Linked DNA regions of Xenopus tropicalis. The protein of the gene in region 1 interacts with the protein of each later gene in a pairwise test. Links are inferred from orthologs where the notes say so. Each region holds a gene or a part of one and is shown on either strand. Other genes may lie near its edges.

The links.
Region 2: the proteins of sgtb (region 1) and serpini2 interact in binary tests that used the Homo sapiens proteins (3 or more experiments, as listed by UniProt). The two-hybrid records come from large-scale screens. The link is inferred for Xenopus tropicalis from reciprocal best matches to the Homo sapiens genes SGTB and SERPINI2.
Region 3: the proteins of sgtb (region 1) and txndc12 interact in binary tests that used the Homo sapiens proteins (3 or more experiments, as listed by UniProt). The two-hybrid records come from large-scale screens. The link is inferred for Xenopus tropicalis from reciprocal best matches to the Homo sapiens genes SGTB and TXNDC12.
Region 4: the proteins of sgtb (region 1) and rai2 interact in binary tests that used the Homo sapiens proteins (3 or more experiments, as listed by UniProt). The link is inferred for Xenopus tropicalis from reciprocal best matches to the Homo sapiens genes SGTB and RAI2.

What each region holds. Positions count from the first base shown.
Region 1 is NC_030677.2:187,754,535-187,761,856, forward strand, and holds part of sgtb (small glutamine-rich tetratricopeptide repeat-containing protein beta), read left to right. Parts: intron 1-1,841; coding exon 1,842-1,946; intron 1,947-2,086; coding exon 2,087-2,225; intron 2,226-2,312; coding exon 2,313-2,375; intron 2,376-3,212; coding exon 3,213-3,250; intron 3,251-5,202; coding exon 5,203-5,286; intron 5,287-7,081; coding exon 7,082-7,193; 3' UTR 7,194-7,203; exon of another isoform or gene 7,204-7,227; intron 7,228-7,322. UniProt on the Homo sapiens protein: Co-chaperone that binds directly to HSC70 and HSP70 and regulates their ATPase activity.
Region 2 is NC_030681.2:112,973,599-112,981,628, forward strand, and holds the start of serpini2 (serpin I2), read left to right. Parts: upstream 1-3,907; 5' UTR 3,908-3,923; intron 3,924-4,390; 5' UTR 4,391-4,416; coding exon 4,417-4,681; intron 4,682-6,734; coding exon 6,735-6,965; intron 6,966-8,030.
Region 3 is NC_030680.2:96,545,886-96,553,943, reverse strand, and holds the start of txndc12 (thioredoxin domain-containing protein 12), read left to right. Parts: upstream 1-3,350; 5' UTR 3,351-3,482; coding exon 3,483-3,576; intron 3,577-6,156; coding exon 6,157-6,217; intron 6,218-6,946; coding exon 6,947-6,999; intron 7,000-8,058. UniProt on the Homo sapiens protein: Protein-disulfide reductase of the endoplasmic reticulum that promotes disulfide bond formation in client proteins through its thiol-disulfide oxidase activity.
Region 4 is NC_030678.2:95,072,838-95,080,893, reverse strand, and holds the start of rai2 (retinoic acid-induced protein 2), read right to left. Parts: upstream 5,387-8,056; 5' UTR 5,160-5,386; intron 1-5,159.

The DNA.
Region 1 (7,322 bases):
TTGAATCTGAGGGGATGCTCTTGTATATACTACGATGTTTATCTTATCACCACCATACACGGCACACAACAAAGGCTTCAGGAGAGGTTCCTGTACTATTTTAAGTTGAGGAAATCCCTTTCACAAGTTTGAAATCAGATTGTGGACAACTTGTGAAGTTTGATCAGGAACTACAATATTTAGCAATGTCATCATCAAGACCCATATCCTGTAGCAAAGAAATAAGGTTTACTCTCTCATGTCTTATTACCAGCTGCATCAGCTCCTTGTCAAATTCCAAATGTTGTTTTATCTCTTAAGGGCTCTGGCACACGGGGAGATTATTCGCCCGCGACAAAACTCCCCGTTCGCGGGCGACTAATCTCCCCAGATTGCCATCGCACCGGTAAAAATGTAAATCGCCGGTGGGATGGCAAACGCCTCAAGAGGAAACTTGCGTGATTTCATTGAAATCGCACCGCCGCATATGCCATCCCACCGGCAATTTACATTTTCACCAGTGGGATGGCATTTTGGGGAGATTAGTCGCCCGCAAACAGGGAGTTTTGTCGCGGGCGGCTAATCTCCCCGTGTGCCAGAGCCATAAGACCTACTAGAGAACTATTGGTTCCCCACCGGTAAGTGATTTTGTTAATCTAAAACTTAAAACTAAGGATGTACTTTATGTGTGTTACTGTAAAACTGTGTGTCTGTGTGTTTTTTCTGCATACTTTCCTGTATGCTACTATAAATCTTGAAGCGGTCTTTCATAAACAAGACTGCGCATGTCTATGAAAGCACGCTAACAAGCCTGGACATGTTGGAATCAGCTATAAAATATGCCCGGATACGGTACCATTTCCAAAAATATTTGTCTGGGCATGCCTTTGATATCCTCCTGTAATATTAATCATAACCGCTAGGTACCGCTAACATAGAGGTTCATAAACGTGTTATTATGGGTCTATAATGCATTACCATTTTATAACCACATGGTGGCGCTCACACAGCACCATGTATGGAAGGGTGCCATTTCACAAAATGGCACCAACTTACCAATGCATGGTATTGTGGGTAACACACAAAATGGCGGACCATAATCATAAAATGGCGGCTGCGCAGTGGGAGGGGCAATACTGCGCAATGGGTGGAGCATAACACAGGGGCATTATGGGTACTACTCAAAATTGAGTCTCAAAATGCCCGCTGCGCAGTGGGCGGGGCTAAATGGTGGCTCAACATGGCCATAATGCACAGTGGGCGGGGGTAACTGGTCGTCTTGTCTATAGACACACCCATAGCTCCGCCCACCTGTCAAGTTGACGTTTTAAATGCCTATACACTACTCTTATCTCTAGTGTTTACCCCTAGGTAAGGTGGGTTAGGGTTCAAGTATGGCTTGACCATTGCAGGTTTGGGTGTGGCTCGGACTGGGGAATAACATTCTTCTGCTCCCGAACTTTCCCTGTCTTGGAACCTAAGGCAGAAGCAGAAGTAGCGTACAGAGCAGAAAGATGTGGGTACAGGTTGGGTACGGGTCAAACAATGGCAACATTGTGTGGGTTAGTGTCGGTGCAGGTTGAGTTTCTCCTGACCCACCCAACACTAGTCCCAATCCTGTGTATAATCCATTTGCCACCTGTTTATTTTCTGGATCTTGACCATGCCCCCTGCTGGCTGGCTGTCACCACTACAGTAGGACTATGGGAAGTAATTGATTGTGACCAGGCAGCAAGTGAATAAATGAGACTAACAAAACTGTTATAAATGCTATACATGTGTTTCTTTTACTGTTCCTTTTTAAAACTAACAGCCAGCGACTTAAATGGCCATCTGAATTCTCTCTGTGTGCACTTTTGCAGAGCAGCAGCACAAAGTCAGAGAGGAAAGCACAGTGAAGCCGTAATGGACTGCGAGAAAGCCATATGCATTGATCCCAAGTACAGCAAAGCCTATGGAAGAATGGGGTATGAGAGCTACAGAACATTAGCTTGTGATTCCTGTGGGTCTGTGGTAGCACAGGGTGTGTGTGAGCTTGCACTTACTCACAGTACATATATTACAGGGACATGCCTCTAATACCTTTATTATTAATATTATCATGCAGGCGTGCATTGGTTGCTATGTCTAGGTACAAAGAAGCTATTGAAAGCTACCAGAAAGCCCTGGATCTAGATCCTGAAAATGAATCATATAAAATGAATTTGAAACTAGCAGAACAGAAGATGAGGCAGATCCCAAGCCCTGTAAGTAACTCCCTTACTCAGTGTATAATGATGATGCCTGCTATCAGCCAATACTATAATAACCCTTTCTTGCTTTATTTCTTGTAGATCAGCACTGGATGGGGCTTTGATATGGCCAGCCTGATGAACAACCCTGCATTTGTGAGCATGGTAAGATACATTAAAGGGCAAGTACAATCTGGGCTCAGCAGACTCAAGTCATAAGACTGGGGTACATGTAACTTGGTGCATGCCATAATAGGTTCTAATTTCATGATCCATAGATATCAAGGGATTCTACATAAATACAAAGGCTTGTATAGGAGGGCGTGTTTGGTGACTTTAATTGGACTAAGGGGACCTAAAATGGAGATGGATGTAGAAGTATCTGTAGGTAATATTCTCATGTATAAAGCAATGCCAACTGCAGCAGCTAGAAACGGATGCAACCTGCAGCAGCTAGAAACGGATGCAACCTGCAGCAGCTAGAAACGAATGCAACCTGCAGCAGCTAGAAACGGCTTAATACAATCCTGACTCTCAATATGAGAATGTCACTCTTTTAAATAAACCAATTCAGATCCCAACCTTAAACATTCCATACGGATTTGGTTTCCTGCATGCAGAAACATTTATAGATGTATAAATCCAGGAAAGGGCGACTAACAACGAAGGGAAAGAAGATCTCACTTATAAACATAGGAGGTTGGTCTATATAAGAAGAAAATGCATAAACTCTTTGCTTGGCCTACATTGTTACAGTAGACTCGGTTGAATAAATGGCTTTATAAGCTAGTACTCTCCAATACCCTGCCCCTGTTATTTGTGATGCTCCCAAGGTCGGGGCAAAGATTGGAAAATAGCAACTGGGTCTCTTTAATATCAGTAGCCTTGTATCTTTTCACTTTATAAAAAGGCAGATAAAGCCTGCTGATATAAATGGAATGTATCTGTATAATTGATTATTCTAAATAATCAATAGTACTTGTATTTTGCAATTCCTTCCAGGCAGCCAGCTTGATGCGGGATCCCCAAGTACAACAGCTGTGAGTATATGCATCGAGTGGGTTATGAAGCTATCAGTTTAAGCTAGATCACTTTGTGTAAGGGCAACTAAACCTCCGAGGTATAGGCTTATATTGACAATATTAATGCACGGAGCTTCTGTGCCAGTTCCCAGATACATAAATCCTATATATACTAAGTTTTGCCCCAATTTTCTGCCATTTATATCATACTGCCTGCCGGCTTGCCTGCATTCCCTCTCTCTGATGATGCCAAGGGCATGCCTAAATTACCATGTTTACATCATGGAGCATCAGCCTGGGCCAAAACACTGCACAGATGCTAAGCCCTATGGGTCGGAAAGGAAATGGTGCCCACAAGCCAGAAGGTCTGCGCAGCAGCAGATAATGGTGTAACTGAAGCATTACAGCAGCCCCAAGCATTAAAAGTGACTATAAGGGCAAGGGTACCCAGGGCGTTTTTAAGTTACATAGTTACATAGTTACATAGGGTTGAAAAAAGACCATTGTCCATCAAGTTCAACCCATCCGAGTAAACCCAGCACACAACCTATACTAACCAATCTATACACTCACATACATAAACTATATATATACAACCAGTAATACTAACTGTAGATATTAGTATCACAATAGCCTTGGATATTCTGCTTGTTCAAAAACTCATCCAGGCCCCTCTTAAAGGCATTAACAGAGTCTGCCATTACCACATCACTAGGAAGGGCATTCCACAGCCTCACTGCCCTCACCGTGAAAAACCACCTACGCTGCTTCAAATGGAAGCTCTGTTCCTCTAATCTATAGGGGTGACCTCTGGTGCGCTGATTGTTTTTATGGGAAAAAAGAACATCCCCCAACTGCCTATAATCCCCTCTAATGTACTTGTACAGAGTAATCATGTCCCCTCGCAAGCGCCTCTTTTCCAGAGAAAACAACCCCAACCTCGACAGTCTAACCTCATAGCTTAAATCTTCCATCCCCTTTACCAGTTTAGTTGCACGTCTCTGCACTCTCTCCAGCTCATTAATATCCTTCTTAAGGACTGGAGCCCAAAACTGCACTGCATACTCAAGGTGAGGCCTTACCAGGGACCTATAAAGCGGCAAAAATATGTTCTCATCCCTTGAGTCAATGCCCTTTTTTATACAAGACAGCACTTTATTTGCTGTAGTAGCCACAGAATGACACTGCCTGGAATTAGACAACTTGTGATCTACAAAAACCCCTAGATCCTTCTCCATTAAGGATGCCCCCAACACACTACCATTCAGTAGATAGTTTGCGTTTATATTATTCCTACCAAAGTGCATAACTTTGCACTTGTCAACATTGAACCTCATTTTCCAGTTTGCTGCCCAGTTTTCCAATTTTGTCAAATCGCTCTGCAAAGCGGCAGCATCCTGCATGGAACTTATAGTTTTGCACAATTTAGTGTCATCAGCAAAAATAGAAACAGTACTCTCTATGCCCACCTCCAGGTCATTAATAAACAAGTTAAAAAGCAAAGGCCCAAGGACTGACCCCTGCGGTACTCCACTAACCACACTGGCCCAATTAGAAAATGTTCCATTTACCACCACTCTTTGTACTCTATCCTTCAGCCAGTTTTCTATCCAATTACAAATATTATGTTCTAGGCCAATATTCCTCAAATGCGTTTTTTAAAAATGCAAATTGGAGTGTACACATACACATAGGAAGCTCCAGCATGGGCCCTGTATATTATCTGCCTCCCTGTAGGCTCCATGCTGGATCTTTATTGCCGCCTTACTCATTACAGCACCAGGTACCTCCACATGGAGGATATTGTACAGCACTGTACAGGGCAAGAATGATGGCACCAGTAGCAAAGAAGCTCCCAGGCAGCCAGAATTCTCTGAAGTTTTAATTCTGAGGGTGGCACAGCAGTGAGGGATAATGCAGAGCGTGACAGAATAATGCAGAGGGTACAGCAGGGTGTTTGTGCATTGCAGGATGTCTGGCATGATGTCAAATGCAGCAGTCGGACCCGCTGCGGGTGTTGGTGGATTAACAGACCTCTCAAGTCTAATACAGGCGTAAGTAGTTGCTTTATATGCTGTAGACGCTTACTGATAACATGTTCCTTACAAACAGTAGGGAGAATGGACAAGAAATAAGTAGTCGCCTGTTTCATGCCCTAACATTATATTTAGCTTGGGCCCGATACCAAGTAGCAAGTTCAATCCAATAACAAGGATGGGATAAAAACAGCAATAGCATGGAGTCAGCAGTGGCTTAAAGGAACAGTAACACTAAAAAAATGAAAGAGCTTTAAAGTAATAAATATATAATATACTGTTGCCCTGCACTGGTAAAACTGGTGTGTTTGCTACAGTAACACTACTATAATTTATATAATAAGCTGCTGTGTAGCCATGGGGGCAGCCATTCAAGCTGGAAAAAAGGAGAAAAGGCACAGGTTACATAGCAGATAGCAGATAACCTCTGTAGAATACAATAGTGTTTTATCTGTTATCTGCTATGTGCCTGTGCCTTTTCTCCATTGAATGGCTGCCCCCGGGGCTACACAGCAGCTTATTTATATAAATTATAGTAGACTTTCTGAAGTAAACACACAAATTTTACCAGTGCAGGGCAACAGCACATTATATTTTAGTTACTTTTATACACTTTCATTTTTTGGTGTTACTGTTCACCAGGGCAATAGTACATACTATATTAATTACTTTGATTTACTTTGATACACTTTCATTTGTTGGTGTTACTGTTCCTTTTAGACAGGACTAGCCCTTCAAAAGTCTTTATTGCAGAGGTGCAAAGTTTTGGGGCAAAGTGACTTTGCCCCAAAACGTTGCACCTCCGCAATAAAGACTTTTGAAGGGCTAGTCCCGTTTGCAGATGAGTGCCAGTGCTTTTTTTGCTATTTGGATTTTTGGGAGGGTGCCGATCCCCGCCAGCAGTGTGCACCAAGCGCTGAAATTTGGTGGAGTTAAGGGTGTGCGAGGAAGGTCTTTTTGTTCGTTTACTGTTCCTTTTAGACCCTGGGCTGCTGCTCCCCTTGTCTGTAAAACATGGCAGGCAGGGTCCTGTTTGAGTGAGTGTTGCACCTCCATCCTGTCTGATGCCCCAGTGGCTGCCCTGGGCGGGGAACATGTACAATAGAGGAAAATCCAAACTTTTACTCAGCATTCCATGCACATTGGACAGGACTGCCTCAAGGTATCCCCAGACAAGAGAAAAGATTTCAGGGTGGCACCCGGGCCCAGTGCATGTTTCAGTGAAGAGACTCCTTGTCTGAAGTTAGGGATTTTTATCACTGGGGTACCCCAAAGTTGCTTTTTATTATTTAATGAGCGCACTTTCTGCGTGTTTAGATAAATGTGCCCCCTATGTGAAAGTGTATGAAGCCACAGTAATGATTTAAGGGCTTAAGTACATGGGAGATTTTAGTCAGATTTTGTGGGTCAGATTTTATCTGAGCTTGAAATTTGTAGAATCCCCTAAATCTGATCCTCACAGCTAAAAAGTAACGATGGATCAGATAAAGTTGGGTGTTGGGTTTTGTTCCTGCATCTTCATCCAACAGTCAGTCAGTGTATTTCAATGAGAAAAAAGGATATTTACAAGAGCATCAGATTTTATCTTGTCAGATGCAGCACAGCGTTCCCTTCAGGCAAGCGGGTCACATCGGATAGCAAATGTTCCATGTAGTTTACACATCAGATTTTCCAATCAGTCCCGTTATTTTTAATCCCATGCAACTATATCCGAATTTTAGTTGTAACTTTGGGGCCATAAGCAGTTACCGTGCTGAGTAGCCATGAAGCTGCTGCCATTGCCTGGGTTATAACACGTGGTGCTTTTTATTAGGGGGCAGCAGTTTGCTCAGCAGATCCAGCAGCAGAACCCAGATCTGATACAGCAACTGAGGAACCATGTGCGGAGCAGGTCATTCAGCGGCACAACAGAGGAGCACTCTTAAGGCAGAGCAGGCACGTCATCATTTCCACATTTGGGTATTTGGCTAATTCCTATGATATTTGCTAGATTTTATCTGTGCCTTCAAAAATGCTACCATCAGGCTTTCTATTGCTGATTCACAGGACTTACT
Region 2 (8,030 bases), on another chromosome or scaffold:
AGCAGTACAACCAAACATGGGAGAAGGGTCCTACCTATGCTGCATTACACACAGTATTTCATTTGCACTAAATATAATAGTTAACCCATTTTGCCATTTCACAAATTTCATGCAGAAATTTAGATATAATTTTATTGCAGAATTATTCTTTGTTTATAGACTTTCAGTATCACTTGGTAAACTGCCCAAGGTGGCAAGCCCACACAACAACACAGCTAGGTTTCTCTCTAAGTGGTGTCAGCTTATGGAGAGGTTTGTTTACTAAAAAGGGCTCACTATCCAAAATTGCTGCACATATGTATGACCTGAAGGCAGTGGTGTAACTAACATACAGCAAATGCCGTGCCTGCAGGGGGATCCCAAGCAGCAGGTGGGTTGCCACCGGGGAGGGGGCATGTATCGATGGTCGGCATGTGCAAATGTTATGGTGTGTGCCAGCCCCCCCCCCCCCCTTAAAAAAATCTTCAGAGAATCCAGTCAAATCCTATTGGCAAGCTTTTATTCTAAATGCTCACAGTACTAACTTTCATGCACAGAGGCATAGAGTGTCCTATAATATTTGCATGCACTGAAGAACAGGGTTCTGGTCTCTCTGTGGGGTTGCTGTGTAATGACTAGAAAACATTTTTTCTAATTCCCACTTACATATGTTATATATCAGTGCTGTCCAACTTCTGTGGTACTGAAGTACTACATGGTGGAGGGCAAATAATGGAAGCCAGTTTGAGCACTCCCCCTTTTTTAAACTGCACCCACTTCAAACCACACCTATGTTATCATAAGAGCTTTTAAGGTTATTCCCACACTAATGGTGGTAGTGCAGCAAAAACCCAAATGGTTGGTGCTCACTGTAGGAATATTACCCTTCATTCATTTGTGAAAAAAATTATATTATGTCATATTGAGACTTAAATCCATATGCCTCCTCCCCCCCAGTGGATAACTCAGCAGCTATTTAAAACTGCTTAAAAACTCTCAAAACAAACCTCTGCCAGGTTCACCTCCCACAGGCAGCATACGGCAAGCAGAGTATGGCACATAGGCAGCATAGGGCAGAGCATGGCACACACAGGCAGCATAGGGCAGGCAGAGTATGGCACACACAGGCAGAATAGGGCACACAAAGGCAGCATAGGACAGGCAGAGTATGGCACACACAGGCAGCATAGGGCAGGCAGAGTATGGCACACACAGGCAGCATAGGGCAGGCAGAGTATGGCACGCAGAGGCAGCATAGGGCAGACAGAGTATGGCACATACAGGCAGCATAGGGCAAGCAGGGTATGGCACACTTAGGCAACATAGGGCAAGCAGAGTACAGCCTGTGTGTGGCTCACTCTGTGTGTGCCATACTCTGCCTGCCCTACCATGCCTGTGTGTGCCATACTCTGCCTGCCCTACTCTGCCTGTGTGTGCCATACTCTGCCTGCCCTATGCTGCCTGTGTGTCCCATACTCTGCCTGCCCTATGCTGCCTGTGTGTACCATACTCTGCCTGACCTATGCTGCCTGTGTGTTCATACTGTGCCTGCCCTATGCTGCCTGTGTGTGCCATGCTCTGCCTGCCCTACCCTGCCTGTGTGTGCTATACTCTGCCTGTCCTATGCTGTCTGTGTGTGCCATGCTCTGCCTACACTATGCTGCCTTTGTGTGCCATACACACAGGCAGCATAGGGTATGTAGTACATACAGTGACACAATGTTGTCACTGCTCCTACAGTCTGTATGAGGTGTGAACAGGTGAACAATGTGGGGGTTTACAGTCTGAGCCTGAGGTGTGAACAAGGCAGGGAGTGAACAATGCAAAGATTAAAAGGTGTGAACAGTACAGGGGATTACATGTTTTAACAATACAGGGACTTAAAGCTTAAATCTGAGGTGTGAGCAATGCAGGGGCCAGTTATTCTCAGTACTGATATCATTTAAAGCTTACACAAAGGTAAGCAGTCACAGCAGCCAGAAAGGTGGGGGGGCCACACAACGGGGGACAGATGGGCCTTTTACCTTCTTCTTCCAACTTTTTGTAGTTTTTAAATGGGGGTCACTGACCCCAGCAGCAAAAAAACTATTGCTCTGTGAGGCTACAGTTTTGTTGGCATTGTTACTTTTTGTAACTTTCCTTTCTATTCAGGCCCTCTCCTATTTATATACCAGTCTCTAGTAACCAAATTGCTATTGAAACTCCAAACTGGAGAGTTCCCGAAATGAAAAAAATAAAAAAACTATAATAAAAATAATAAAAAATGAAGGCCAAATGCAAATTGTCTCAGAATACCACTCTCTACATCATACTAAAAGTTATCTCAAAGGTGAACAGCCCCTGTAAATGGATTATTTTTACATAATACAGCTTTACCACTTCTTGTAGCAGCAGTCCTATCCCAAATGAGATACAGGTCCCTGTTCCCAGGGACAGATTCATGCCTAGGCTTACCTAGACTAAAGCCCAGAGGCCAAGTGTGATCAGGGGCATATCTAGCTTTTTTAAAAATGATTTCTCTTTCCCAATCTTTTAATATTCCTTTTTGTGTGCTCTGGGTCCGGTTGGGTGCACCAGGGAGAAGAAGGCAGGCAAGGCTTGCATCTTAGCTCTTTATGCTGGGTCGGGTTTGGCACGTGCCAGTGACATCACATGCCTAATCCGACTCGACTCAGAGAGCTTGGGTGCACACGCACCTGTATCTGCACACAGATTCACACACACACGCCTGGCTTGCCTTCTTCTCCCAGGTGCATCGTGACCCGACCTGGCCAAATAATTTTACTGTTAGTAATAGTTAATAATTTTAAATTATTTGTTGTAGATTTCTAAATTTTTGGGAGTCGGAATAACCTAGGAGAGGAGTCTGTGAAAAGTGTATTCACATCTTATTTATCCTCCAGTGCCTGTTCCACTGGCATGGTTTTCGTCTTTTTCTTTTGAGGGGGCTAAGGATATTGGCAGTGCACTGTATCTACATTACGACCTGAACATTGGAATGAAGATCGCCTTGAAAGTACAAGATGCACTCTACTACGTGTGGTTTTGTATAGAGCTGTGTGAAGAGCCAAATGCCATACAACTGATATAAGCAAAGTATTGGATGTTTGGACTTAGCAGACAGTCAGGATTGAGGGACAGCCTTGTAACATCTTATTTTGGTTCCCTATGCTTCGACTTGTGTAATATGTATCTGTACATATGTTAAATTGGTAAGCAGTACCAGTAACCACTTCCGACAGGGGCACATTCAAGCTATCAGTTTTGACTTTTTCAAAATACACAAACTTCAGCTGGCTTTATGCAGCCGTGCTGGCTTGAGTGATGATCCTAACAAAGTTGATACAAGGTTATGTGGGGGCCCCTGCAGGTTTAGTTGATGTCTTTTCCTTATTAAATTTTCTTTCCTGCCTCAATCGCATGTCAGATGGCAAGATGATCATTTTAGGCCAATACATGATCCAACCAGATGCCAACTCAGTCAAAAGTGACCAATCAGCAGTGACTATCTACCAATATATGGGCATTTTTTGATCTTTATATCCATCTTGCTAACCACAAAGAAATTTCTAATGGTTACAAATGTATAGAATAAGCAAACATCATTGGTGAGTTAACTGTACTATGTATTCCATATCAGAATGCATACTATGCTGACTGTCCCAGGCATTAGAATTTTAGACATTACAGGCAAGAAATGAATACAGTTTGTGAATGAAAGCCGACTCAGCAGCCATGCCAGTTTGATCCATTGCTGCTCAGTGAACAAACATAGTGTTTTTAGTGCGCTACAAAAGTTTCGAGATAGCAATGTCAACAAACACACTCTGGCATTTAGAAAATTAATCATTCGTCTGACAGATTAAATGTACTATACCTGCTCTCCCTCAGCTTTCGGAGACATTTACTTTTCTTGCCAGGGGAAATACGCCGCTGTTTTTCATGTAAGTGCCCTTTAAGATAAAAAATAAGTGTAAGAAATTGAAGACAAAAAAAAAAGTTTAAAGATAATTAAAAAGCGCCAAATAGCATAGTTTTGTTTTTACTTTTTTTATTAGCTCATTTCAAGTGTGCTCATTTAAATGAGGTAATTTACAAATATTGCTGTGACTACTGCAATCTGTGTAGTTTATGTTATTATATAATTAGGAGAGCACATGGAGTCCCTGAAACCTGACTCCAACTACTGTGTATAAATACTTTTGTTCTTTTAATAAATAAGCAAGATAAATATCATTAGTGCGCGGGGAAACAGTAGGAGAAAATGAAATAGTGTACCGTTCCCCCTGTGCGACATTTATTAGTTAAACCAGTATGGAATTTAGCACGCCAAGAATCATATTGTGTGTGGGCAGTGGAGGAAAATGATATTATGGTAATGTCTTCTGTAATGGAAGTTTTTCTATTTTAGAGCCCAAAAGAGTACTTTGTGTTACAATGAAAAGACTCTACCCAGGCGTGATCGTCGCCGTGACCCTTTGTGGAGTTTGGATAACTTGCAATGCCTCCAGGCTCTGGGGAGATGCTATTACAGAACTGGCTGTGGATCTGTCTCGGGCAATTCATTCAAGTTGCACAGAAGAAAACATCATTTTTTCTCCACTTGGAACTTCTTTAATTCTTGGAATGATAAAACTGGGAGCCAGAGGAGCAGCACTGAGTCAGATACAGCAAGCTTTAAAACTACAGGGAAATCAAGACAGTGAGTCTTTCTTTTATTGATCCCAAATCTATAATTCCTCCATGTTATTGTGCAGGTGAAATAAAACTAATCTGTGCTTGGTGATATGAACAGTATATTGAGTCCAGTCTCTCCAACACCAATGGGGTTAATGTCCAAAAAAATAAAGCAGAATAAAACAGACATGAAGGATGAAGGGGAAAGGTGGGAATATGTCTGTAACCCATTATGTCGTCCTATCATTTTTGTTCAGGATATCATTCATAGCTGAATGCATCCACAAATTGAAAGGGGAACTTCTCTATGCAGAACAAAGAACACTGTGTCCATGGAATACTTCCTTTGAATTGGCTTACTATATTCTAGCAATAACAGTTTATATGTCCTTATATTTTAGTTTTCTGTGGTGGCACTCAGGAGCCTTGCTAACTTTCTCAGATATCTGGGGATTGGGACTTTATGTCAACATCTATATTAGTTCACATTCAAGAAACTCAATGTTGTCTAAAATTGATACAAAGGAGTTGTGAGATTACACACTGAAATACTCAGTAACATCGCACTGATAAAGCTGCCATGTACAGTTACAATGTAAAAATACATGAAGATATAAATGGAAGAATAAGAAACTTTGCTTTGAAGAATAGGGTGTTAATAGATTGCTATCCTCCCTATGCAAACACTCTATTTAAGGTATAACAAGCCTTCCTATGTGAACAACCTTATTTAGGGGACTAACAGACCACATATATTTCGGTAGGTGCAGAGAGTTTGTTGTTGTAGCAAGGGGCAGTTTTGAAAAGTTGAAAACATAAGAACTGAAATAAAAATGGACTTTGGTATGTTTCCTGATGATCGATAGGAGAGTCTGCCATTCACATTGTAAAGCAGAGTTCCCCAACCGGTGGCTCGTTAGCAACATTTTGCTCACCAACCCCTTGGATGTTGCTCCCAGTGTCCCCAAACCAGGTAGTTATTTTCACATTCCTGACTTGGCGGCAAGTTTTGGTTGAATAAAAATGACGTTTACTACCACATGAAGCCTGTAAGCTGATAGTGTGGATAGAGACTACGTAATAGCCAATCTTAGCCCTTATTTGGCACCTCCATGAACTTTTATGATGCTTGTGTTGCTCTCCAAGTCTTTTTACATTTGACTGTGGCTCATAAGTAAAGCTGGCCATACACGCACCAATAATATCGTATCTGGCATGGGTCAGAACTGGCTTGGCACTTGGGCAGTCGCATCACTGGGCCATTGGGACAAGCACAAAGCTTTGCATGATGCAAATCCAAACAATTAGCCCACTGACATTGATGCTTGTTGCCAGTTTGTAGGTCCCATTCCCACTGGCCATTTTACACGTGGTGCTTCTATGCTCCTCTCTTGTATTAACCCTTGCCTGCCTGAACTCTGCCAGTTCTGACCTGTTTCCTGTTTATTGGTTTTGTGCTGTATTTACCCTTGCTGTGCCTCACCATGGACTTTCTTCTGCCTTCCTGTATTTAAACCTTTCTCTTAAGAGCTTCTTCCTTGATGCCTACTCCATGCACTAAGACCAGTGGCCCTAAGACATGCTGTGGTCCCCTGATGGTCGTGTCAGTATGATTAGTCAGTCAGTACTGGTTGTGACACACACAAACAAACATACATAAACAAGTTAAATTTCAATTCATTTTTTTTAATACAATATTTTTCTGTACTGTATCTATCTTCCTTTCCCATTTTATTATACAAACCCATTTTAACAGGGAAATGTTTACAAGGTTGGAATATCATGCTTACTCCTTGGTGGGGATTAATTAAAAACTTGCTCAAAAACAAATAACTTATTGTTCTCCTGTAGTTCTTATGGAAGCAGTTGTCGTTTAGCATAAAAATAACCCTGGGTACTTTTTTGTCACATTGTATAATATAATTGGAGGAAAAAGCCTGCTGGAAATGTCTCATGTCAAGGTGAGAGCAAGAAAACAAATTGTGTACTAGGTTTTAGATTGGAAAAGAGCATCCTACACCTTCGTTATGTTTATGCTGATCATTAAAAGGCACTAAAACACAAATCATTTTCTCTAGGTGAGGAGTTTTCTGAGCTAAAAACGCTTCTTGCTGTCATCTCTGAAGAAAATAAAGAATTTACATTTAATCTAGCAAATGCCCTCTACCTTCAAGAAGGATTTCAAGTGAAGGAGCAGTATCTCCATAGCAACAGGGATGTCTTCAACAGTGCAATAAAGCTGGTGGATTTCCAAGATGTAAAGGCTTCTGCTGAAACAATAAGTGAATGGGTGCAAAGGCAAACACATGGTAATCTCAACATTTTGCTCTGCTAAACTTGTCTTTGTAATTGGGCCCTTTTGTCAGATATTTTTTTAGCAAACGAAGTAGAAGTAAAATTACAAGACAACAGTAAATTGTTCATACAAGACAAACAATTACTGACAAAGTTGATGTATTATAAAGTTCTACAGAGGGGCAGGAGGGGAATTCATATTCAGGACGCGTAACAAAGAACATTTCCAAGTTTTATGTGTTTAAATCTAATAACCAGTAATTCTTAGAAAAAATATCTGAACTGAAACACCAGATAATAATGAAGTACTGTACATATAAACATGTTTTTGAGCTGGTTTGTAATTGCAATGCAAATGATGGGCGTTCTGACTTTTTTCTTTATATGACATGACAAAAAGACCCTCCTATTTGTAACTATCAGTTACTCACCCACTTAGATATTGAGCTAAACGGGGCAGGTACCTGCTGTGGCTGATTTATTGCCCACTCCATTTATTGCCCACCCTATAGGAGAGGTGCCAAAATGAATCTTTCCCCTGAAATACCCACCTAAGGTGGGCAATGTCAGGCTGACCAGTTATATGGCCCTAGGGCCAAACAATTGGATTACAATAACAGGACTACACAATACAGTGCCAAAGCATGCAAATCAACCCCCCCCCCCCCCCCCCACACAAACAGGAGCATCATTCTGGGGAATAAACCTAACGATTCTTTTCACTGGGATTGCCTAACATATTGGCACCCTCTTTAAATAGGGCTGTCTTTGGGTTCAGCTCTAGTCCTTGGTTTTCTTTTCAACTCAGAAACAAAGAGGACACGAAACATAAAAAATAACCAAGCTATAAATTCCTCAACATTAATAAACAAAATAAGTAATAGAAGTAAAAAAAAAAGGTTCCCTGTGACTGGCTGCAAGTCCTTTTCAACTGCAGTGAATCACTGAGCAGAAAATCCCTTGTGATTGCTAAAGAAATTTCCAAGCTAACACTTTTTAAACCAGAATTTTACACAGCTACATGTGTGTGAAATCTAAACTTAGCTTTGTGGGATGTTACATGGTATTAACGTGGTGTA
Region 3 (8,058 bases), on another chromosome or scaffold:
ACGTGCAGATAATTGCAGCACGGAATGTAAGTATTAAGCACATTTAGAAGTCAATATACACAAAGTTATAAACATGAATTAGAACCGAGCACAGAACATGTGCCACTCAGAGAAACGCAGCCCGCACCGCCTAATGTAAATGCAACCGGGCACCCAATAACCCCAGGCCTGCTCTGACAGGGGGATCACTTTCCGCAACAAACTACAAGGATCCCGACGCGCTGCGCCACAACACGTTTCCGGACAGCGTTCCCCAAACCCGCACACGGTTCCGTAAATAGAGGGGAGTTACATAGAGGCCCAATTTGCCCAATGGAGATACTCAGCAAGACGGCGGGGCGTATACTCGCCATTACACCACCTATAGTTCCTCGGAGGTCAAGACATCTTAGACGCTTGTAGTGAGCATTTCATGGTGTCGGTAGGTTCCCGTGTGAGGAGAGCCAGTAGCCACTTACCTAGCTTAAAGGGCCTACAGACAGCACGCGGTAAGGAAGATGGCGAGTGCGGGAGAGGGGAGGGCCGTAACGTACGTAGAAGGACGGGCAAGTTCAGCTCACGTTGACGTATCCGTCATCAACGAGCGATGTCATTTGTAGGTTGTAGTTTAATCTGTGGCGTTGTTCCGGGCTTGGTGGTTGCATAAAGAAGCGTTGAAGTTGCATGGCTAATTATTGTGCCAGTAGTCCAAATATCTTTTTCTCCATCTTTATTTAAAACTGCATGCCTGCCAGTGTACCTCAGCATCCTTTAAAAATACTGGCTAGGTGACAACCCTTTGCTAGATCGTGCTACCCCTTGTCACTGAAAGAGAATTCTCTCAAATACAACATGGGTAAATACATCTAAACTAGCAAACTGCAAAGCATTCCTAAAGTTGACAGTTTTAAAGACATATCTGGAAATGACCTAAAGCTTGCACTTTGCAGTACTAGGGGTAGGCTGAATAGTTTGATGATGTACATAGGTTTACCAAAATATCTGGCATGCACAGGAATTCTGATCCGGAAAAAGATGACCAAAAGGAGAACAAAAAATAAAAGGGCAAAACAGTTATTGTTTCTACATTTTGTAAACTGTGTAATCAGAAAGGGGGTATTAGCATTTAAAAATGATCATTGCAAAGAGAAGCCTGGATTTGGCAAGCACACTGAGATACTAGTAGCAGCTACTTTTTCATGCCTACTAAACTCCAGAAAATACATTGTGATAGAAAGTACTAAAAATTGGCTCTGTTAAAACACATGTAAAGAAAATTATCAGTAAATGTCTATTTTAGGGCAGTGACACACATGGAGATTAGTCGCCCGAGATAAATCTTCGTTACCACAGTCGACTAATCTCCCTGTAATGCCATCCTACCGGCAAGATCATAGCGACTAATCTCCCTGTCTGCCACTGCCCTTAGTAGCTGCTACTATGAGCTCTGCGTGTCTTCACCATAATACTAAATAGCCAGTTGGGCTTTAGGGCAGTGGCACACGAGATTTGTTGCCTACAATAAATCTTCACTTTTGCGGGCAACTAATCTCCCCGACATGCCATAAATAGCCCGAAATTTCCTTGTGAGGCAACTTCGGGTGACTGAAGCGATGCATATACCATCCCACCAGCAAATGACATTCTTGCCAGTGGGATGGCATGTTGAAGAGATTAGTCACCTGCAATAGAGAAGATTTATTGCGGCAGACTAATCTCCCCGTGTGCCGCTGCCTTTATGAGCAGACACCCACACAACATGTTTACAAAAATGGAGACAAGACATCATGTGTTTCTTTTGATAGAGGACTCAGTGCAGCGTTTCTGTGAGTGCTTATGGCTGTATTTACATAGACCTTTCTGATAAAGCCGATTTTTTTGCGCTTGCGCGACTTTTTTCTTACGCTGTGGTAAAGACCCATTGGAGGAAAAACACTGGACCCATAATCATATATTTCAGGGATACATGGATACTAAATAGCACTACAATTATTATTTTATTAACGTGTATTTATAAAGTGCAAATATTTTCTGCATTGTTGTCAAATAGGGGTGTTTACATTGAGCATACAGATTTACATGGCATGCAACCAATAACTGATACAAGAAGTTGAGGGCACTATAATTTGAGATAACAATAAACCTGACTTACTTAAAAGTAAATAAATATATACTAAGTATAACCTAAAAAAAAAGTATACACCTTCTAAATATATGTGAAGTACCTGCATGAAAAAACCCCTACACCTGTCACAAATATAAAAACTCATCCAAACTGTTTTACAAATAGGTATACTTTTTTAACATGGTTAATGGTTAGAGCAATCTCTCATCAATTCAGTCATGGGTGCTGATTTACTAATCCCCGAATCCGAATCCCGAATGGGAAAAAATCGGATTGGAAACAAACATTTTGCGATTTTTCGTAAATTGTTGTGACTTTTTCGTAGCCATTATGATTTGCTCGTAAATTGTTGCGACTTTTTCGTAGCCATTACGACTTGATCGTAAATTGTTGTGACTTTTTCATAGCCATTACGACTTGCTTGTATATTGTCACGACTTTTTCGTATTGAGCGCTCGTAAACGGCGGGCAAACCTTTGAGACTGCATGATTTTGGAAGCCTCCCATAGGACTTAATGGCACTCTGCAGCTCCAACCTGGCCCAAGGAAAGTCTAGATACTGAAGCTTGAATGAATCCGAAACTTTCATACTCGGCACGACAGCTACGAAAAAGTCGCTACAATTTACGAGCAAGTCGTAATGGCTACGAAAAAGCCGCAACAATTTACGAGCAAGTCGTAATGGCTACGAAAAAGTCGCGGCAATTTACGAGCAAGTCGTAATGGCTACGAAAAAGTTGCGACAATTTACGAGCAAGTCGTAATGGCTACAAAAAAGTCACGACAATTTACGAAAAAATCGCAAAATACCGATCATTACGAAAAAAACGCATTCGGACGTTCGTGGATTAGTAAATGTGCCCCATGATGTTTGGTAGTTTGACATTCCAAAGTGTTAAATCAGTGGTGCAATAGTATTGCAGCATGTTACACTAGGGAAGTTGCAAATACTAATATTAGAAGCCAGAAGCCGAAGATTCTTTTTTTTTTGGGGGGGGGGGGGCTGGCAAGCTTGGTAGGCATAGTTGTCATGTCAAGAACCACACAAGCATTTACGGAAAGGATGTAAAGCAGAGTTAAAAGTGCCGCCTGAAAGTAGATTATACGACATCTTTAAAGTGACATAGGGCCCAAGCGACATGAGTCTACTTTGCCTTCTTCTAATCAAAGTTTATTCTGTCACTACCTGCTAATTCCTGTGACCTTCCTGGATTAGGAACTTCCGCCCTCCAAGCATCCTCACTTCCTGTTAGTAGAAGCGCCTATGACGAGCTGCAGCGTCACGTGGTATAATACATCCATCTGGCTGATAGGAGGTACACGTACCTGAAGTGCAAGTTCCTTCATTTGTGCCTGCCGACTCGGGTGGTTGCTGAGAATGCGGTACCTTAATGCAGCTGGGGTAGCTGTGCTCTCTGTGTGTCTTCTCCTGTTTCTTGTCCCTGCGTCTGCCGACACAGGACTTGGTCGAGGTAACTCTCTCTCTGGCTCTGTGAAAATGTGCATGTGCTTGTGTTTTTCTGGGAATTTTGGAGTGTAACGTGGGGCGGTGTGTAGTGTCCTTATTAAAGGAAAACTGGTCTTGGATGTCAGATGTGGGTAGTCAACGGTAGAGAGTTTCACGACTATTAAGGTTATTTTTCCGGGATTATGTGTGTCACATATGGTGTGACCATTAAACAGAAAATGCATTCATTTGATTTGTAATATGTACTCCATAGTATAAAGCACAGCTTAGTTTGTGAAAAAAAAATATTTAATTATTTTAGGATTTTCAAGTCCCCCTTATGCAGGGCTGATTTATGCTGCTCCTCTGCTGGATTTCTTTAAGAAATATGTAAAAACAATTTAAGTGGTTACATTTGCAGATTTGTTGGTGATACTGATTATATTTTACCCCATCCCCCTGTATTTATCTTTGTTAAATAAACAGAATTTTGCAGCACATCCTAAAATTTTTCTCTCCCCACCTGGTAATTGTAAGTAATTTTCTAATTTACATTTATTACAGTGTTTGTTATTATCCATCAGTACAACTGCTGTTTACAGCAGTGTATCTCTGTCCCTTTCTGTTCTCTTCCCTGATGGTTCTGACGTTTGTAACAATGTAGCAGAAGCCTGCTGATTAACAGACCTGGAAAGAAGCATTCAAGGCTGGCTTCTGCCACACTGATCTAGAACCAGCATGCAATTAGGAGAAATAAACATACTTGGGGTCATTTATGAAATCTGGGCAAATTTGCCCGTGGGCAGTAACCCATAGCAAACAATCAGTGATTGCCTTTTTACTGCCAGCTGCAGGTAGAACAATGAATGCAACAATTTGGTTGCCATGGGTTACTGCACATGGGCAAATTTGCCCAGTGTTGATAAATAACCTCCACTGCCTTTAAATGAAAGCTCCACTAGGGAAAATATAGGTCAACACACTGTTCCACCATAAGTGTAATCCAGGCACCCACTGCCAAAACATTACTAAAAAGGAGGTGAGATAAAAATCATATAGAATGCTACTGGACCTAAAAGGAATACTGTCATGGGAAAACATGTTTCTATAGCAGAATACTGCATTGAAATCCGTCTTTCAAAAACGCGAACATATTTTTTTATATATTATTTTAACATTTAATCGTGACTTCGGAAACTGAAGCAATGCAAAGGGCTTTCCACCGGCGACTTCTATTGTTGCAGGTGGAAACCCTTTTCGGAACGGTTACTCGACCTCTACAGCAGCGATCTATTGCGGGTGAGTAAGTTGCTGCGTGGGGGCTTACCCTTAAGCATCAGGTCAGCAGGAAGTGAAGAGTGTCTGTGGCCCTCTGCTTCATTTCCTCTTCTGGCAGTGCACTGGCAGACATGGTGTATAAGAATATAACAATTCTAAATCCAACCTATATCCATAGTATCCATGAATATCGTTGGGATTAGCAATCTGCCATACACACCCCAGTAATCATAAAAAAACATTTTATGCAATGTCATTGGAATGTGTATGGCCAGCTTAAGAGGCATTCAGGGTTAAAGGAGTACCAAAAATAAGCATTATAGAGATCTCAAATATGTGCAGAGCATTGTATCTCCAGCAGCCACACAGTACATTAATATCAATATTATCACGGCCAAACTCGTAAAGTCTTGTCTTATTTATAAGTAATTTTTCTTAAATGCTAAAGGGATTAACAGTTGATTATAGACACTTAATTTAATGTTTGTTTTTATGGTATGAGAAAACTGGTTCTACCATAGTTAATATGTCCTATTTGATCTGTAGTGTTTTGCAGCTGTGTGTGTACCATAATTTGTTTGCTGAAAAGGTCAATAACTTGGGTTTAGAGATATATATATATATGTATATGTGTGTGTGTGCACAGATATTTCAGTATATAGAAAAGTCACAAGCTGGCAGCACACTCAAGGTGAAAGAGAGCATCTAAATAAGGCAGATGCCATCCTGTCTGTCAGATTTAATTAACTTCTATAACACATAGGACTTATGTGTTTGCACTGTGGTGATTTATTAGTTCAACATTCATTTCATAGTAGTAGTGTTTCAGGTTTCTACAAAACCTGTCTGATGGTTTGGAAGTAAAGGTTACTGCGGATATGAAACAAAGAAGACAAACAAAGTTTTTCATTTAGTTGTATTAATGATCTATAGAGATTTTAATTATTAATTTTATGTAAATCGCAAGGTTGAAATAAGCTGTTATAGGGGTAGTGCCTTATATCACGCTGGCAATAAAGGGGTGAATAATTCTGGTAATGTCTTGCAGTAATGACATGAAATTGATAAAATAATGTATCAAAGTAAAGATAATCATATTGTGGTACAAAAGGCTCATGATTTATTTGCCATATAAAATAATCATCATATGTAGTAATTCTATCAGTCCCAAGTTCATAAACAGTCCAGCATATGCAGCAACATTCATGTTAACAGGCATGTTATTTAAACTTTTTATAACACATACAGTGCCTGATATTAAAATTGACCAGGACAGTGTTGGCTGTATCTCATTCATATAGTTTTTGGTTTTTTTTAAATGTCGCAGGATTTGGGGATCATATCCATTGGAGAACTCTGGAAGATGGGAAGAAGGAAGCAGCTGCTGGGTAAGTTTTTTGCTGGATCTCAGACCTGGAAAGTCATCCAAAGTTAGAGCCCCAAAGAACATTCCCTCTAAGCCCCATTTTCTTAAAGAACAGGGAAAGGTCAATTGATTACCTCACCCTTCCTGCCTCCCCATATGTTGTAGTCGTTGATAGCAGAATTGCTGTTTAACACATTTATCGGGATATCATATTGACCAATTCTTTCAGTCATTGCAGCCGCTATCTTGCATCCAGTTATATCGATTTATTCTTTGTCAGAAAAATTTCGTACACATACACGTCTTGCACTCCCTACTGAGCCTGTACATTTTATCTTCATTATGTGCTGTAATATGTGCACATTGACTCCGCTGTCCACTTTAGGTTATTCACACACAGGTGGCCAGACCAAATTGTCAATGCGTCAAAGAGCACAAATGAGGCAGCCAAAATATTTCAGTCATTATTTGCTAAAAGCCATGCAAATTAAAACAGTGGATGTTGAGGAGTAAAAACTGCCTAGTGAGTCAGCATTTTTGGCCTTTGGTTCACACTCCATTCCTAAACACTGTGTCGGTAAAATAATCACTTACAACCCACACATGACCACGAGAGGTCAGTTTGGTTAAAAGTAACCATTTTGGCATGTGTGGCATGTGTGCCCTTTTAAATGACAGATGACATATGTGAATGACATTGCTGGTTTGTGTGTATATTTGAATGTGTGTCTAATGTATTTTTTTTTTGCAGTGGCTTACCTCTTATGCTAGTGATCCACAAGACATGGTGTGGAGCCTGCAAAGGTAAATGACATTGAATTAAATAATATCTAATATTTGTGAGCACTAGTTTATTTGTGTCTGTACCCCCCTACTTAACATTCACATTGTTTTCAGAAACAGTATATCCTCTTTTTTTAACATTGGTGCAATGAATAGGCCTTTTGCTGAACATACATTTTGCCTGTTCCAAACTGGACAAAATTTGATAATAAAATTAAAGCCACATTTTACTTCATGATCCCAAAGAGCTAATTTATACTAACTGAAGTCCACTAAAGAGCCCACTGTATTACTACCCCCCTGCCCCAGCTACAGACTGTTATTGTTTTAGATAAAGAGTAGCTCATTACAAAGAGTCTTTTATTAGTGAGATTCTTTGGTGTTTGACTTTACTCTTTAGGGCTCTGGCACACGGGGAGATTAGTCGCCCGCAACAAATCTCCCTGTTCGCGGGCGACTAATCTCCCCGAAATGCCATCCCAACGGCGAAAATGTAAATCGCCGGTGGAATGGCATACGCGGCGGCGCGATTTCAATGAAATCTCAGTTTCCTCTCAAGGCAACTTCCGCGACTAATCTCCCCGTGTGCCAGAGCCCTTAAAATCAGGAAGTAGAATGTGGTTTTAGTTAGATTTTCAAGTTTTGTCCGTTTTAGAGTGTGGAATAACAAAAAACACAGATATTTCTTTCTTTTTGCATATTCTTTTAATTATGTTCAGCACAAGCTCTATTCATTGCACCATTGTGTAAAAAGGAGATATACTGTTCCTTTTAAAAAGTGGAGCACCAGCCCAAGGTAGGAGTTCAGCAATTATAGTCTACTCTGTGGTGTCTAACAAATTGGCACCCCCCCAATGATTTTTGTTTTCCTTCTCCTTTAAGGTCATTTGGCACCCATGGTTTAATCTGTGTTACCCCAGGTGACAAATCTCCCATAAATGCTTTCCTGCTGGCAGTAATGTAAATCAACAGTGGGAAAACTTGCACAACGCTTTGTTTTCCCAAAGTCACCCAAAGTTTTCTCGCGAGGCAACTTCGGAAAGCAGAAGTAACTTGTATGATTTACATTATTGTTGGTGG
Region 4 (8,056 bases), on another chromosome or scaffold:
GTGTATGGCAAGTCAGCGAGTCGACCGATATCGCAGGAGGCTGATTGGGCGGGTTAAAAGATTTTGATCGGGCGCCATAGAAGGCGCCTGAGCAAAGTCTGCCTTCAGGGCTGAATTGGCAGAAGGAGGTAGAAATCCTATTTTTTCTACCTCCTTATCTGCCGTTTCAGCCCTGAACGTTAGTGGCCGATTGAACGATCTTTCTTGCAACCGATGGTCGCACGAAAAATCGCAAATCGCCACGTGTGTGGCCACCTTTAGTTATATAGCAAGATTGCCGTTTGCAAGTCTGCCATTAGAATTGTAGTTTAGCTATAGCTCGAGGGCCTAAAATGAAGCTCTTGAGGGCTAATTATAAAAGATTATTACTAAAGTAAATGTCTAAGGTAGTATGAACAGAATACAGAATGTGTAAAGGAAGTATACAGTCATAAATTCATGTAATTATAGAGTTAAGAATTGAGTACACTGACAGACAGCCAAGTAACATACAAGCACAGTGGTATGGACAGATTGCAGCACATGCTATATTCTGAAACATGATCATTACTCCTAGTAAAACAAAAATGGTAATAAATACATATTCATGATCTAATTAAAGAAAAAAATACAATGTTCCTATGATTGTTCTCTGGAAAGTTAATTGAGCTTAAACAAAAATAGAACATCCTCCCTCATCTGTCTTCTAAGAACAACACAGGCTGGTTAGTCTCCTCGTCCAAGAGCTCTGGCTCCAAATTATCCAAATAAAATGTATCACTGGGAACAAGTCTCCTGAATTATCCTTTATATTTCCTATAAGCTTGAAAATTGCAAGCATTTTTCATTGCCATCGCAGGAGAGAGAACTGGATGTGTCGGCCAGAGTAATATAATTATCAGGTGCTGGGCAAGGTCTTTTCTATACCAAGACTGCAGCAGATTTAGATTGAGCTGAATTGACTGTCATTCTAGTAAGGTGCAAGAAATGTGCTTTTTCTGAACTGTATTTATGAGGCTCCAAGGAAGAGAATTTACCTAGGGTCTTGTGCATGGATGGACATGCAGATTGACAGCTTTAGATAGGAAATATCTGGCTAGCATCCACACAGCACTGCATATTAGCTATGCAAGAATCACAGTGCAGGTAGTAGCTAAGATAATAGTATCTGGGGCTGGACTGTGCTTGGCATTGTAGGGCAAGATGGTGGTAGTTGTAGTTGTTGGTGATGTACAATTACTAGCTGGCAGCTGGCAGGAGAGCTGGAAATGTACTTCAGCATCTGGAGAGCAATCCCTAAATTAGAAAGTTCTACAATATTTGCCTGGCTTAAAAAACCCTTTTCCTTTGCATATAGCTGTACATAAATAGGATCTATAGACTAGAATGCTTGGGATCTGGGGTTATTTTCCTAATCTAGATCTCCATACCTTTGCCCCTATATTTAATAAATGGCACTAATTTGCTCAGGAGCAGTTACCCATAGCAATCAATAAGTTTGGTTTTAGGCAGGTGATTTTACCTTCTAATTCATTGCTATAGGTTACTGCTCCTGGAAGCTTTTTATTACATAACATTTAAACATTAAATAAACCCAGCAGGATTGTTTTGCAATTGCCATGGATGCATGCAGCTTACAGTAGTTACCATAAAGTACAAGGTTATGTTTTATTATTACACAGAAAAATTAAATCATTTTTAAAAATTTGAATTATTTGCATAAAATGGACTCTATGGGAGATAGATTTAAGCTGGCCATACATGTAGCTATAAAATTGTATCAAACAAACATTTATGTTATTCATGGGACAGATTTATATAAAGGCACCCAAGGGGCCGTGCTTAGGGTAGCAGTTAAACGGGTAGCCCTCAGTTACCTACATGATAAAATAAATATTTTTCAAGGAAAAAAATCTCTCCAGCTGGGGGGGTGAGTGGTACCTAGCTCATAGGTATGCAGTTTTGCTGGAAGTGACGTCACACACAACTGGATGTGACGTCACACACATGCGCAGATCGCAGGCTTGGGGGTACACTTAGGTCCGATGCCTAAATAAAGCACTGGGTACAATAAAAATGTAAATTACCAATACAGCATGTCTCCAGTGCATGGTGTACCTTGTAATGTATCCAACCCTGCTGCAAACTAAGTGGTCAGATACCATAGAGAATTAAGCTGAAACTTGGAATTTCACATTAGATATTAGTGGCTACACTTTTTACCTTTTTTTATATATATATCTTTGTGCAGTTACAACAGTCTTTGTGCAAATCAATTCCTGTCTCCAAACAGTCAGGGTTAATACAATTATAATAAGCATGGATGGGTCACATGCTAGATAAGCATCACTGACGATAGTAAAGAAGATCAGCCATCTTTAATAATATATTAGTTGCCCTTTAGGATGCCATATTTTAGTATTAGAGACACCTGAGAATTTAGGCCCACCAAGGCATGCATGCTTGCAGCAACCTTACTTGATAAACTTGTGCTGGGAATTTCTGGCTGCTGTATCATCAAAAATCAGGAAATTGGGTCCTAAGGATTTTTATTTTCTTAACAAGCTTTAATGGCAATTTGGGCTTGCATACCAAGTGGGTGGTAAAACAAACAAGAGTAACAGGCATTTCTGTATCTTTCATATGAAATCTATATTATGCTGGTGTTTTATATAAATACACTGAGATTACAGTTGCACTTTGTATAACTCATGCAGCAGGATGATAGACCGTATTGCACAGTAACAACGTACAGTAGCATGTTTCAGTGTTTTCTAGATACCTTAGGAAACAGTACTCCAAATTACAGATAGACCCCTTATCTGGAAAAGCCCAGGTCCCAAGCATTTCACATAATAGAATCTTTACCTATAGAGAAAAGGCTAGTATTTTTAAATTTTCCATAATCATTTGGCCACCAGGGGCACACTTTCATTGGTGTGAAGGAATGCTGTGCAGAAAAGCGACCTAAAAACCCACATAAATAAATACATCTAAAATATAATAAACACATAAATAATGTTCTCTGGGCCCATGCATTTTACTTTTCTTTATAGCTTTCTTATAAAAAAAATATATAAGAGTCAGACCAGCACTGTGTTAATGCAGGGCTTCTCTTTTCATTACGAATAACAGTGGCCAAACAAAGATATTTTTTCCCAAACCTCATATCAATGGCAAATAAGGTCCCTGATACTTAGAATTTCTGATATTAAAAATAATAAAATTATAAATACAAACTAATTATTAATTAAAAAAAAAAACAAAAAAGAATAATAAATGCTAAAGGGGTTAATTGTAGACTTGGCTGTAAAAGGGTTTCCTGTGTGATGGTCGTTTTGTAAGTCCCATGCATTATGCATTAGAGATGTGAGTTCCTAAAATCCAGCATCAAATTATCCCACAGCACCACCCCAAAGACATGAAAGTCCATCCAGGCTGAAATAATTGCTTGTGCGTCCCGCGCATCCTGTCCTTTGGCCACCAAAAACCCAAGTGCATGAATGCATTATTACTTTAACATGCAGGCAGCTTCCGAGCAATACAATGGAAGCCAAAACAGTTCTGACCAGATCGGATTTACAGAAAAAGAGATATATGTGCAAAACTACAGCCCTGCTCCATCTGGAGAATCCTCCATTTTGCTTTTCATCTGCTGTTAAAAGACAATGGAAAATAACATTTTCATTCCAGCATGCAGCTCCATCTGACATATCTGAATTGGGCCCTGTCAGACTATAATTAAAGGGTCCTCCCACCTATTTTTATTCAAATACTAAGGTGGAATACAATAGTTTCTTGTGTAACGCCAAAGCATTGATTTTTGGCTCCTGCTGCTAATAATACATCTGTCACAACTTAACCACTTCACATTTTAAATGGGGAAATATTTTTATAATTATATGAATGCTATGAAAAAAATGTGTTTGTCTCTCTTTTCAGCATGGCATTGTCACAGCTTTACAGGACGGTTCATTGCTCTTATCACGCTCCCTTGCGCTCAATTAAAGAGATACTACATGATTGTAGTCTAAATGTAAATAGTCTTATTGAAAATAAAATATCTTAAAAATGAAAAAAAAACCCTATGAATCCAAAGAAGCACTCTGTAGATAGAAACCACCTTCTCCAGCAGGGACGAATCACCCCCTCCTCATTACTGAGCCACCAAATATATCTGCCTAGCCAAAAAATAAAGGAAAGAAAATGACCCCTGGGATTTGTGCATGTGAAACACAAGGCAGCAGCTGTTTGGCAACATTTCTTAAGTCTAAACAGAAAATGCGATGACATTTAATTTAGGAAAATCTGCCCCTTTTTTTTAGCTGCATAATGCACAAAAAGGCATATTTCACTGGAAATGACAAATAAGTCAAGGTGATATTTTGGTTACAATGGTCATAGAATAGATCACAGTATATTAGACAAGGGAAGACATATAAACAGAATGAATATATATATATATATACTTACAAAATGCAATATATACTTACAAAATGCATATGCATTAAGACAAATGGTTATTTAGACACATATAGAAAGATAGAAGGATGACAGATGATGATAGATAGATAGATAGATAGATAGATAGATGATAGATAGATACATAGGAGGCATTACTGATGTATCTATCTAACTTGCAATCCTTCAGTTGTTGGTAAACTACAATTTTTAGCCTTCAGAGTTGGGATAATTGTACAACTGGCTGAGGGCTTCTGCTTGCCCCCTCAAAAGATGAAATGTTTCCCATGAATATACCTTGCAAAAGAAGAAATGTGTACAACAGTTTTACATGTCAATAACATAATCTGTTCATGTGTGTGAGAGGCTGGTTGAGCCTGCCATCCCAGCAGCACAAGAACATACAGGCAGAGCTGTTCCTGCTGGAGAGGATCCAGGGTAAGGAGTAGGATCCCCGCAGCAGCCTCCATGGCTGTGTGTTCTGACAGCAGGGAAGGGACAGACCTGCTATACACATCCCTGTATCCTCTCATAACCTCCCCCCTCCCCGCCCATGGCACGGCTCTGAGCTGCTCTCCTTACTTGCCCCACATATCTCGCCACTATACATGTATATATGATTACGCTGTGCGGTGCTTGCCTTTCTGTAACAGCGCCTAAGCACTAGTGCCATCCTCAATCTCCAAATGGCTCGGTTCCAAGGATCTGCGCCCTCTTACCTGCCCAATTCCTGGCACTGGCAATAGTATCCTTCCTCCTGGCACTAAACTGGAGCTGAACCCTGGACTCCGGTAGGGATGTCGCTCTGCCTAGCGGCGCTACTGCTGCTCCATGTACAGAGAGAGCAGATGCAAGGAGTGCAGGGCGCTGGGTGTCTGTGGGCTCAGCTCCTCCCTCTCCTGTCTGTCAGTGGCACCGCCCGGCAAGCTGTGGGCCGGCTGTTATGCGCCTGTCTTCCTTCTCTGGCTTCTGCACCGTTGCCCAGTATATCCCATTATAAGTGTAATTTAGTGATTCACCGGGCACCTGTGCAACACAATTTGTGCGCCTCAGATTAGCAGTCATTTTAGATCATATATGCAATGATTTGATATGTTACCATGAGGCATGGTAGGGTTATTAAGAGTTTCCTACAGGTGGGGAGAGGGTATTTTAGTTACAAAGTAAAAGTCAAACCTTTCGAACCCTAAATGATGCCGAAGAACACCCCTAGCTTTACAGGCAGTCTGGGGATATATAGGACCACTAGGAGGGCAAAACTATATTGGCAGCAGACAGTGTGGGACTGGGACCACAGGGGCCCACCAGAAAAGACCATAGGCCCACTCTCCAAACTATTTTTCCCCCCTTTTCCTCACTCAACCTCCTTATTCTCCTAGTCTCTTTTATTTACATGCTAGGATTTATTCCTCCATCTATTTCTCTACTTTGTTTTCCTTCAGAAATAGGGAATGACTATGAAACATGCCAAATGGTTAGGAGCAGGACGGCCCACTGACACCTGGGGCCACCGGGAGTTTTCCTGGTATCCTGGTGGGCCAGTCCGACACTGGGAGCAGGTCCTGGGCCCTGGGGGTATAGGGGCTCCTGTGGCACTCAGTATATCTACATGCACAATCATTTCTAGAAACACTACTACTAAAATGGCACACATTAATTGTATACATTCTGTATAGCTTCTCTCCCTTTGGGTGCCCTGATTTAACACTGACACCCACCCTCAGCAAGTCTCCCATCATTCAACGCCTGCTGCTGTTAGATAGTGGCATTTATTTTCTGTCATCCTGTCACTGAACATCCCTCTGCATCTTTGTCTTCTGCACACAATTTCATTTTATTAATGCATTGCAGAATGGCACTGCTATTTCTGCCTTTTATTTCCTCCCGTACATCATGTCCTCCTACACAGTATATTGCTTTGTTTGGCTTAACGCCTTACCCATAAATTTCCGCTATTTGCATATCTTAACAAATCAGTATCAGAAAACATAAAGAAAGGAGGCAGGTTGTTATATTCTATCAGGGCTCTGTGCATCTTTAATTTTTAATTGAACAGAATGTATTGGTGAAATGTATTCTGTTGGTTATGGAGACTTTAGAAATATTTTTCATTCATGGGACCAACAACCTCAGACCAACAAATGCACCAAAATGAAATGTGTATGTGCCTATGTATGGTGAGCTGGTATAAACCATTTGTAAATATTGAAAAATTATATAAAAGGTTGACTGCAAAACATATCAGGGTATTAACAGGGGCAAAAGGCAAGCAGAGAGTGTGAGAAAGTTTTGCTGTTTACTATTAAATCTAGCAAGAAACAATTTTACAGGTTTTGTATCGGAACCTGCAAGTTACCACTTTAAAATGGCACATTTAACAGGTCAACAACACAATACAGGCATTGTGATGTTTTGCTAGAAAGTTAAGTTAAAGGAGAATGCAAGTCAAAATTTAAAAAGCATACTGCCCAATAGTCCTCTTATTGTTTAGTAAAAACGCCACACTTTTGGCTCACCTAATCAAATATTTACTCAGTCACACTTACATCACATTTTCTAGAAGAGGCAGCCATCTCTAAACAGGTATTCTCCCTTCCTTTCCCTCCTTGCTTCATACTGCACATGTGTTTCATTCCCTCCCCCCTCCCCTCTGCCAGATCCGCTTCTGATTGGCTGGTGGGCATGTGTAGCTCAGAACAGCAGACAGGATCAAGTTACATGCTCAGAGAATAGGAAGGCTGCCGCTGGCAACCTACAGGAAGGGAAAAGAGATTTCAGTGATGTCACTGTAGTCTTCACACTGCTGTAGGCTGCCAGCACCATATCTCAGAGAAGCAAGCAGGGATCTGGGAATTTAGATTTGCAGTAAGTACTTAAAAAGAATGCCTTTAGACTTACTTTTAATTTATATTAACCTTTCATTGTCCTTTAAGTTGTATGTTTTTTTGCCTCCCATGCAAACATTTCTTGAGATTTTCTTTCTATGATTGCTGATGCTGGGAGAACCCAAAACCGTATGTACAGAACAACCAGCAGCTACTAAGCCCTTTGTGTGACATAAGTCTAAAGGCTATTGCATGTATACGACCCTAGCCAACATGATTACCCTTGAACTGAAGGTTCTTTCATATGGTTCTACAACTAAACGCAGGAACACTTTATTCACAGTTGGTTGATATTAGCTTCTTTTCAACACTCCTTAGTTATTCAGAGTGTCAAATGATATTACGGAACAGTACAAGAAAACAGTGCACAGTGTCTCCCTGCATCTTTTCTTCACAGGGGCCCTCCTCAGCTAGTGGGTGTTTTGCACAAAGAGTCAGTTTACAAGGACTATAGTAGTCCTAACCCTGTACTAGAGGAGTGCCCGCTGTAGTGTTGGCCCCACTATCTTCTCTGTGGAGTCCAAACTTCTTAACTAGCTGACCTAGTCTCATCTCTCGTCAACTTAGACAAGCTCTATGGAACTACCTAAAACCAGCTGGCTTAACAAATAAAGATGATGGTCTGGATGGCTCTCCCTCTGAGGTGGGTGTCCTCTATGGCTTTAATAATAATAAGTTATCCCTGTAAACAGCCAGAGACCTTCTCAACACTTACAGTAGAGACCATAAGT